Arabidopsis thaliana: one gene and its partner. The protein of the gene in region 1 interacts with the protein of each later gene in a pairwise test. Each region holds a gene or a part of one and is shown on either strand. Other genes may lie near its edges.

The links.
Region 2: the proteins of AT5G45580 (region 1) and HAM4 interact in a two-hybrid assay, tested with the Arabidopsis thaliana proteins (one large-scale study listed by BioGRID).

What each region holds. Positions count from the first base shown.
Region 1 is NC_003076.8:18,480,300-18,485,152, reverse strand, and holds AT5G45580 (Homeodomain-like superfamily protein), read left to right. Parts: upstream 1-2,144; 5' UTR 2,145-2,506; coding exon 2,507-2,648; intron 2,649-2,961; coding exon 2,962-3,038; exon of another isoform or gene 3,039-3,077; coding exon of another isoform or gene 3,078-3,131; coding exon 3,132-3,198; intron 3,199-3,347; coding exon 3,348-3,423; intron 3,424-3,507; coding exon 3,508-3,586; intron 3,587-3,659; coding exon 3,660-4,061; 3' UTR 4,062-4,344; downstream 4,345-4,853. Other genes in the region: AT5G45590 (Ribosomal protein L35), read left to right, coding at 1-77, 421-510.
Region 2 is NC_003075.7:17,303,724-17,308,205, reverse strand, and holds HAM4 (GRAS family transcription factor), read right to left. Parts: upstream 2,449-4,482; 5' UTR 2,147-2,448; coding exon 686-2,146; 3' UTR 558-685; downstream 1-557. Other genes in the region: HVA22K (HVA22-like protein K), read right to left, coding at 31-89, 375-437.

The DNA of each region.
Region 1 (4,853 bases):
AAGACAGGTTTAAACCACTAAATGATGGTACCATCCGTCGCTGGAAAGAAGGCAAGCGCCACAACGCACATTTGAAGGTAACAACACCTTATTCCTCATATCGATGATAGAAAATTTTATTCATTCTTTGGCCTACGCCTCTAGAGGAACAGTATGATAATACCTAGGGATAGAACTGATCGAAAATTGCCCAACAGCTGATTCTGGTGATAGTGAACTTAAATTTGGATAGAACTAGTTTTGAACTTCGAGTCTTTAGGTGTTTCCTTGTTTAGCTAAATGGACAAATGGTAGGCAAAGTTGTATTTTACAATACCATCTCTGTTGTTGGACCTCTTCGGGGTTTCATCATTGTGTAAGATTTCTGAGTCAGGTTGAGAAATGTTGAGTGTAAAGAATTTGTTTTGTTAATTGATGCAGTCAAAGAAATCGAAGCGTAGATTGAGACAACCTGGACTAGTACCACCAGCATATGCGAAAGTCATGAAGAAACTCAATTTCTGCAATTGAGAGATAGAGCATGAAACAGTATGATTACGATGAAAGCCAGTCTCTTCCAGTTTTTACCAGATAATTTTGCTCACTGGTACTCAAAAAATCTTTATGTTTCAGTTTAACTTCATTGGAATAAATTGAGTTTTCGAAATATGGTGAAATTGGCGTTAAGACTGATCGGTTTTGAAAAGAGAAACAAGTTAGGCTTATGATTTTTTCTCAAGTACATTTTCCAGCTAAACCAGAAGAAACTTTGTTTCCCGAGTCGGTCCGGTTATATGATATTTCGGTTTAGTCAGATTGTACCGGTGTAAACCGAGCTTTGGATTGAAAAATACACCCATTCTCATGTTTGGTTAGGACAAAACGATTGCGGTCGAACGAAGCGGCCTTGGTTCCACGTGTGTATTTCTTGTGGGTCTCAATTTCAACAAACGTAAAAGACAAAAGAGTAACAAAGCCGTCCACGTGTCCTATGTTGAAATACCATTAAACCCCCACCGTCGAACATGTGAGTTTCAGATTATTGTATTTTCCTTGTCCGACGGCGAATATTCCACGCTGGCAGTCTACGTGACATGCTCGCCCCATGCACTTTGTTTTCGTCATATAAATTCCTTTTTAAAACCATTGAATTATTATTGTTATTGTTTTTAAAAAAATACAAAAAAAGGTTTTATGTCGCTCTTGTCGGAATTTGACACCGCTCATCACTCATCATGTATTGATCGTCGCCGAATACAACGATTTGTTTTTTTTTTAAAACAATTTTTAAAAGGTCACAATACAACAATGAATTTCATCAAATCTTTTATCAAAAAAAAAATGAATTTCATTTTATTTGATTATTCGGAATTGATTTATGTGTAATGTGGAATGTGTAATAACAAATTACTAATTTAGTAATTTGGTCGAAACATTTTCTATGTTTATTTTCTTCTTCTATCTCAAATTGAGACTATCCGACAACATATGAATGATAAATTTATATGATACCTAAATAAAGGAACAACATGGAGAGAGATTTTGATTCATGGATTGTATGAGAATGAGACAAAACCTTTAGTCATAAGTTATCTGATTTAAAAACACATAAATCTAACATATAAATTATTCAAATGATAAAAATGATAATTCCTAGAAACTATATATTCTTTGGACATTAATAATCTAGGTATAGTAAACAAATATCCATGATGCGGGCCATGTTCCTCTCTCCCATGTTACGATTCTGAATATACAAATACCTCTTGATTGATTACAAAAAGAAAAAAAAAAGTACGCAATCATGTATATATTTTATTCTACAACATGACATATACACGGTCTAGCATCTCATAGACACAATTAAAAACGCAAGTAATATGCGGTTGGTAATTGCGTTTGTATGCAATAAATCACTAATCAGTCATAATACAATAAAATTTTGCTATGTTTTGCTTTCATACTATTCACAAAATCGATATAAAAAACGTTAATAATTACTATTTTCTTTTTTATTATCATAATATTTCGATATGGATACAATTTGTTTTTGTATATAAACAAACTTTTAGTGTTGGATCCATAATTTGTATTATACATATATTATAATAATACTATATTAACCGAAGGTTGACGTTAAGTCACGAATAATGTCACCACTTCTCCTCCTCCATCATCATCATCACCGCGACGACTTTTTTAAGTTCCCTTTCTCTCTCTCTGAGATTTTCCTCAAAAAGTTTTCTGATCTCTTTTTCTCCATCAATCATCACACTTCTTTCTATTTATCTCGTCCTCTCGTCGCCGATTATCTCTTTACCCTAATCACTCGCATTCCCATCTTTAACAAAATTTCTTCCACTTTCTTTCCGACCAATATTTCGTAGTTCGATTGCCATTTTTCCTTTTTTTGAGTTTACGCTTCCTCTTTCCGATCACATCCTTGAGAAGAGGAAAATTTCGAAGTTATTTGATTCATTCTTCCGACTGAGTTTCCCGCCATTATTTTGTTTGATCGGAAAATTAAATGGAAAGAGTGAATCTCGGAGGTTTAGGTTACGATAATGGCGGAGTTATGATGACTAGAGATCCCAAACCTAGGCTCAGATGGACAGCCGATCTTCATGATCGCTTCGTCGACGCCGTCGCTAAGCTCGGTGGCGCTGACAGTAAGCTCCTCTTTCCTCCTCTTCTTCAATTGTGATAACCGGTTTCACTTTATAATTCCGGTTCAGTCCGGTTAAATCTACAGTTGATGTATCTGTGTAACAACATTATAGCTCTTTTACTCTTTCTTATTCTTCAATTGAGATAACCGGTTTCACATTATGATTCCGGTTCACTTCGGTTTGGTTGGTTAAGTTAATGCCAGTGATTCAATTGATTCTTCTCTATGTAGCTTGATAACTTCAAATTTAATAGGTTACAAATGTAATTATATCTGTTTGCTTAGTGACATTTGTTATTGGTTTGGTTTTGTAGAAGCAACTCCTAAATCGGTTCTGAAGCTGATGGGATTAAAAGGTTTAACACTGTACCATCTCAAGAGCCATTTACAGGTCCAAATTTATACAAATTTGAGTATATAATAATGTATAATGTCTACAAATTGTTGGTTTATATTCTCTCTTATGATGTGTTTCTATATGCAGAAGTATAGACTTGGTCAACAACAAGGCAAAAAACAAAATAGAACAGAACAAAACAAAGAAAATGCTGGTATGTATGATTATTATCAAGAATTCAAGATTTATATATAATTCAGCTTATAGTAGAGTATAATATATATATACATATGATGTATTTAAGGAATATTAATGTAGATAACATTTGAGAAACCAAAGATTGATTGATTTTTGTATTCACAGGAAGTTCATATGTGCATTTCGACAATTGTTCTCAAGGAGGAATCTCCAATGATTCAAGATTTGATAACCATCAAAGGTATATTATATATGAATTTGCCTTCTCTCGACATAATGGATTTGTAAAGCTTGAGTTTGACATAATGTTAATGAACACACGTAGACAAAGCGGGAATGTACCTTTTGCTGAGGCAATGAGACATCAGGTCGATGCGCAACAACGGTTTCAAGAACAACTCGAGGTAACAAATCTCTTCTTTCTTCTCTCACAACAATGAATAAAAGTTTTAAACCGAAGTTTTTGCGGTGTTATAGGTGCAGAAAAAACTGCAGATGAGAATGGAGGCACAAGGAAAATATTTGTTGACATTACTAGAGAAAGCACAGAAGAGCTTACCTTGTGGTAATGCAGGGGAAACAGACAAGGGTCAATTCTCGGATTTCAATCTCGCACTTTCGGGACTTGTAGGAAGTGATCGTAAGAACGAGAAGGCGGGTTTGGTTACTGATATCTCACACCTTAATGGTGGTGATTCCTCTCAAGAGTTTCGGTTATGTGGAGAACAAGAGAAAATAGAAACCGGAGATGCATGTGTTAAACCAGAATCCGGGTTTGTGCATTTTGATTTGAACTCCAAAAGTGGGTATGATCTCTTGAATTGTGGGAAATATGGGATTGAAGTGAAGCCAAATGTGATTGGAGATAGACTTCAATAGGTTAAAGAGACACTTTCTTTAATTTTTTATTTTATTTTATTATTTCTTTACATTTCTTATAGAATGTTACAAATTTGGCTTCATGGTTTCTCAGTCAAATATCAAGAACATATTTGAAGTCCAAAGTAGTTGATATCAGCTAAATACGGAATAATTGGGTTTAACTAAATAAGTTATTTTTGTGAATAATAAAGTGTAGCATCTTCTCTCGCTTGTTCTGCAAAATTCAAAACCTATTTGCTTGTTTCTTAATTCTTTTCAAAAATATGTCTATGCATCTAATTGTCTCTTTCTAAAAAATGAGGATCAAACAAAGATGAGATTTGATTCTCATGATTGATTTTCTCAGTTAAAAATAAGGGAAATTTAATAGAGTAACCCATATTTTATACATAAAGACCCAAAAGGAATGCTAAAAATATGAGTTATTTGAGTAATAATTATACCTAAATTATCCTTGTTTTCCTTTGCAGAGAAAAACAATATTACAGAAATGCCATTACTATTTAATTCCAGCAAGGCAATAAAACCACATTTATTTACGAAAATGCCATCGTCGTTTTTGATAAATCTGTGGCTCTTGTTGCGACGGATTTGTTATCGATCACAGATTTGTTGGTCAACCACAGATTTTTTACAACAGACTTGTTTTGTACCCCAGACTTTCCTGTGTTATGTTACGCCAGATTTTTTTTTTTTCGCAGATTTTTTAACCGTGACTAATTTGTTTCATATAGTCTCCACAGATTTTATTTAAATTTCAAAAGTAAGAATGTTGAAACCAAATCTGTC
Region 2 (4,482 bases), on another chromosome or scaffold:
TTTCTTCACCTTACAATAAAAAAAACTCACCATGCTGTACGAAGTACGATATTGGAACTAAGTGGAGAGAACAATACACGCAACCCAACCTGAAAATTCCATTGAGAAAAACAATTGTTTCTCTCAATCCAAAAGTTGAGAATATCCACATGATCAGGAATTGAAACACCTCTTTCTCTAATCGGCTTTTGTCAAAGAGTAATCCAAACAAAAAAACAATCCAGTACAGAAGAAATCTGAATTCCAACAAGGCAGAAGATGAAGGAATCCTAAATATACATATTTAATCATAAACTTTATCACGAATCCCCAAATCACGGATCGGAACAAAAGCCGTACAATCGGAAACATCAATCAAACTAAAGGAAGATTACCTCGCCGGTGAGTCCAGATCCAAGAAGCGCCATGGATGGAATCTGTGAAGCAAACCCGCTCATCGGCGATTCGTACGACGGTTTTACCAAATTGACGACGAACTCGCACACTCGCAAAAAAAAGGTCACTTGTGTTTTGAATAGAGGAGATTATGAATCATTAAAAGACTCTAGCTCATACAGAGACTCTTCGTAAGAAATATTTTTATTTCTTTATTTGAAAGATAAACAGCAAAAAGAAAAGAGATATTAAAGGCGGTAAATACAATTATTCTATTCTATATCATATTGTTAAACCAAACCCGGTTTATCTAAAACCGCCAAGCTGATGTGGCAACAAGTGCTCTTCCATGCCAGCACAGCACCAATTCTCCTTGTCGTTTCGCCACGTGGAATCCTCTAACTTGCGCTTTCTCCAATAAACACTCAGCTTGAAAGTCGGCGAACTGGCTTAGCTGTATCGGCCTCATCCCGGCGGCGCAAAACGCTTCCCGCCAAGTCATTTCGCCGGTGTGTCTCCTGTCAGCCGCCGTTTCTACCGCAGCGGAGATCTTCGGTCGTAGAACGAACGCTTCCACTATCTTCTTCACCAAATCTCCGGGAGGAGCTGCAGCGTCGAGCGACTCCAGCACCATCGTGTAGAACTCAAGAGCGCTAACAAACTCTCGCCGGAATGATCCAGATCCGGCGATCTCCGTCCATCCTTCACTATCCACGAATACAACGACCTTAGGTGATACTCTCCGTAAATTGTTAACAAAATCAGTGATTCCACTTAGACGACGAAATATCGCCGGGGAAATCAAAACGACGGTCCTCTCCCCCTCAACAAACCTAATCGCTTTGAAAGATAACATCTCAAAAGTCTTCATCAGCACAAACTCAATCTGGAAACGAATTTTCATCTCCGCCGCGAATTGAGTTAGGTTTTCTTTCACTAGTCGCGTCTCTACGGCGCACTCCTCCGCCACCACTGCCGTAACTCTTAAAAATCCACCGCTTACAGATTTCTCAGTGATTTCTCTCATAAGCGATGCGTATTGGCCACCGAATCCAATCTCAAAATCCACCACGTGAACAAACGGAGAAGACGACTGCGAGCTCAACGAATCGAGTATCGCTTGATTCGCCGTGAAATGAGAGAAGAGAGGGATCGGAGAAATCCCGGAATATTCCTTAATCGCTCGGATCCTCTGAACAATCTCGGACCAAGAAGATAACCGGATTGGATTCCGGTTTGATCCGGTTAAAAACGAACCGAGAGCTTCCTTAAAGTAAAACGCAGCTCTCTGTAACGGTCTACCCGCCGGAGATCTCAAGCGTTGATTAAGCCGTGATAAAACCACCTGAGCGAGTTGTAACTCGTCCGATTCAACACAATCCACGACTCGGATGAGATCTTCAATGAAATCAAATCCTCCATTGTCGACACTATCAAGAGAATTAAAACCGTACCCAGTTGTTTGGTTCTGACCAGGATAAACATCGGAAGACGATTCGAAATCCGACGGTTGAATCTGATCGGGAAAGCCAGGGAGATTTGAATCGACGGCGTAAAGAGGCAAAATAGTAGAATCTGTTGTGGTTGTGGTGAAACCGGTTTTAAGTGAGTTAGGAGCAGAATCGTCATCAAGCTCCAATTCTTTCATGATGGAATCCCAATCCATTGAACGCATGACATGTTCGTCCATTGATAAGTGATTACTATCAGTACTATTAGTGTTGTTGTTGTTGTTGGTCGTGTCTTGAGGAGATGATGCAGGGATTTTCATGTGTTGTGTGTTAAGAAGAAAGAAAGGTGGAGCCTTTAACGAAAAGAAAAAAAGTTTTTTTCTTTCTGTCTTTTTTCTTTGTGTGTGGGAGAAGAAGAAGGTGGCGGGGCTTTTGAAAGGTGAGAGTGGTAAGCTTTTTATCTTTGAGTGAGTGCGTGCAAATAAAGAGATTTCAACTTTGGTAACCGTGTCTGATCCGGGTTTGTTTGGTTTTACAGAATAATATTTATACACGAAACAATCTGATTGACAATGATTTGTATATGATTCCGTTTTTTATTAATAACATACTATTTCACATGAAATTCAACTGAAAGATTTTAAATCAGTTTTTATTTTGTATTAATTTCTCATAATATATCTCCAAAACTATATACTATGCACAACTAGCAACTTCTGTAGCTAATGAAAAGGAAACTTCTACAGCTCTTTAAAGGGATAAAATACAAATAAAGTTCCTCTGCTTTAAAAATAAAAATAAATCATTTGATTGAAAAGAGATCCAAGCTCCACTATGTTGATCATCAAGAATGTGAAAGTTGAAAATAAAAGAGAAAAAGGATGTTTTAAAAAGGTTAATGATTTCTCTCTTTTTTTTGTCTGAGTGGTTTTTTTTCAGTCTTTTTCATCCTAAAATTTTAAACAGTATTTTACAAAAACATTTAACTGAAAGTTTTTTTTTATTACATATGACAATTTAAGTGATCAAAAATAATCTTTCTCAAACATAGCAGCACGGCTATATGTAACTATGTTGTACCTGAGTTTGAGATCAGCGTTAAAATATTTCATATTTGTGGATATTGTTTTCGATCATTAAATCTCATACGTTTTTGACCCAAGTATGGAGATAAATAAAAAACTATGAATCTGCGTTGATTATTCCAATAGGCAATAGGTATATCAACGTTTGGAATTTTTTTTTAAAAGTAGTTTGTGTTGGACAAAAATATTCTTACTAAACAAACTCTACAACGTCGTTTTTATTCTCACTAAACCTAGTTGTTAGTACCACACAAAATACAATATTATGTATTTATTTAGTACCGTGCATATATCACATAATAATCTCAAACTAGTTACAAAAGCTAGAGAGGTTTATTCGATTGATAACCAATAAAAAAGGGGAAAATTGCATGAAACAATTTGAGTCGATGATGTTTAACGGACACTAATCCCCGCTGCTTGCGACAAAAAACAAAGGAAAGGAAAAAGGGAGTGACCACTGGGCTTTATGTGGAGCCCACATAACACGGTAAAAAGCAGGGGGAAAGTAAGCGGGTCCACAATGGGCTAACTTTTGAGGTAATAATGTCGGAGAAAATGACCGAGAAGCCCATGGGCCAGAGATTGACTGATCATTAAGTCAGCGCGTAAGAATCACGCCCACTTCTTTCTTTTGCTTAGCCCCCCACTCTTCTCTCTAACTCGCAAAGGAAAAAGAAAGAATATGTTCTCTCCTTCACTTATTGCTTTCATTTTCATGGAAATTTACCTTCCTTTTTTGTTTTCTTTCTTTTCTATTTGGTTTGGTGTACCAGAATGCAAAACCATTTCCTCAATCTTTTGAATATACTCTCTTTTTTTTTTCCTTGTGTAATTAGGAATGTTTGATCATATTAGGTTAATAACTCACCATTTTCGCAAAATATGGCCTAGTTTGCGAAATTTAAACATCATATAGTTCTCGTGAAGAAAAGCTTCTTCTCATTGAGACATTATTCAACCTTTAATATCGTGGAGAAAAGGTTCCTCTCATTAATACACCTTTTTCCTAACATAATTCAACTTTTTTTCTTACATAAGTCTTCATCTGTGTTATATAATTTAGATTTTATGCGGTATAGCGGCTCAATTAACACACTAAAATACTAAAAGTTCTTTTTGTGGCAACTTTTTTTAGTTGTTTCTCATTAAATTAATGATTAAGCCCACATTTCTGTTATGTTTTAAAAATTTAAGAGAAATAATCAAGTTTAATATTCCACCGTATGAACGCCTACATGCAATGGGATCCACTTGTATCCTAATCTCATGCTTAACAACTAGTTAGTTTATTTTCGAGGATCATACATAAAATACCATAATATTATAGTTTATATATGTGGAACATGCAAGAAAAATAATCAATGATTTATCGAACTGAAATCACTCGCCAAATTAGTTGCCTTTTTTTTGTTAGATTGAATTGCCAGTATTTTAAACAAATAATAAAATAATAATAATAATAATAAAATGCCAGTATTAGACCAATGTTTTCATTATGCTCAGAAATTATTTCGTCCACAGACCACCAAAATGTTACGTCTTGTTAGCTTGAAAATCATTACACTATC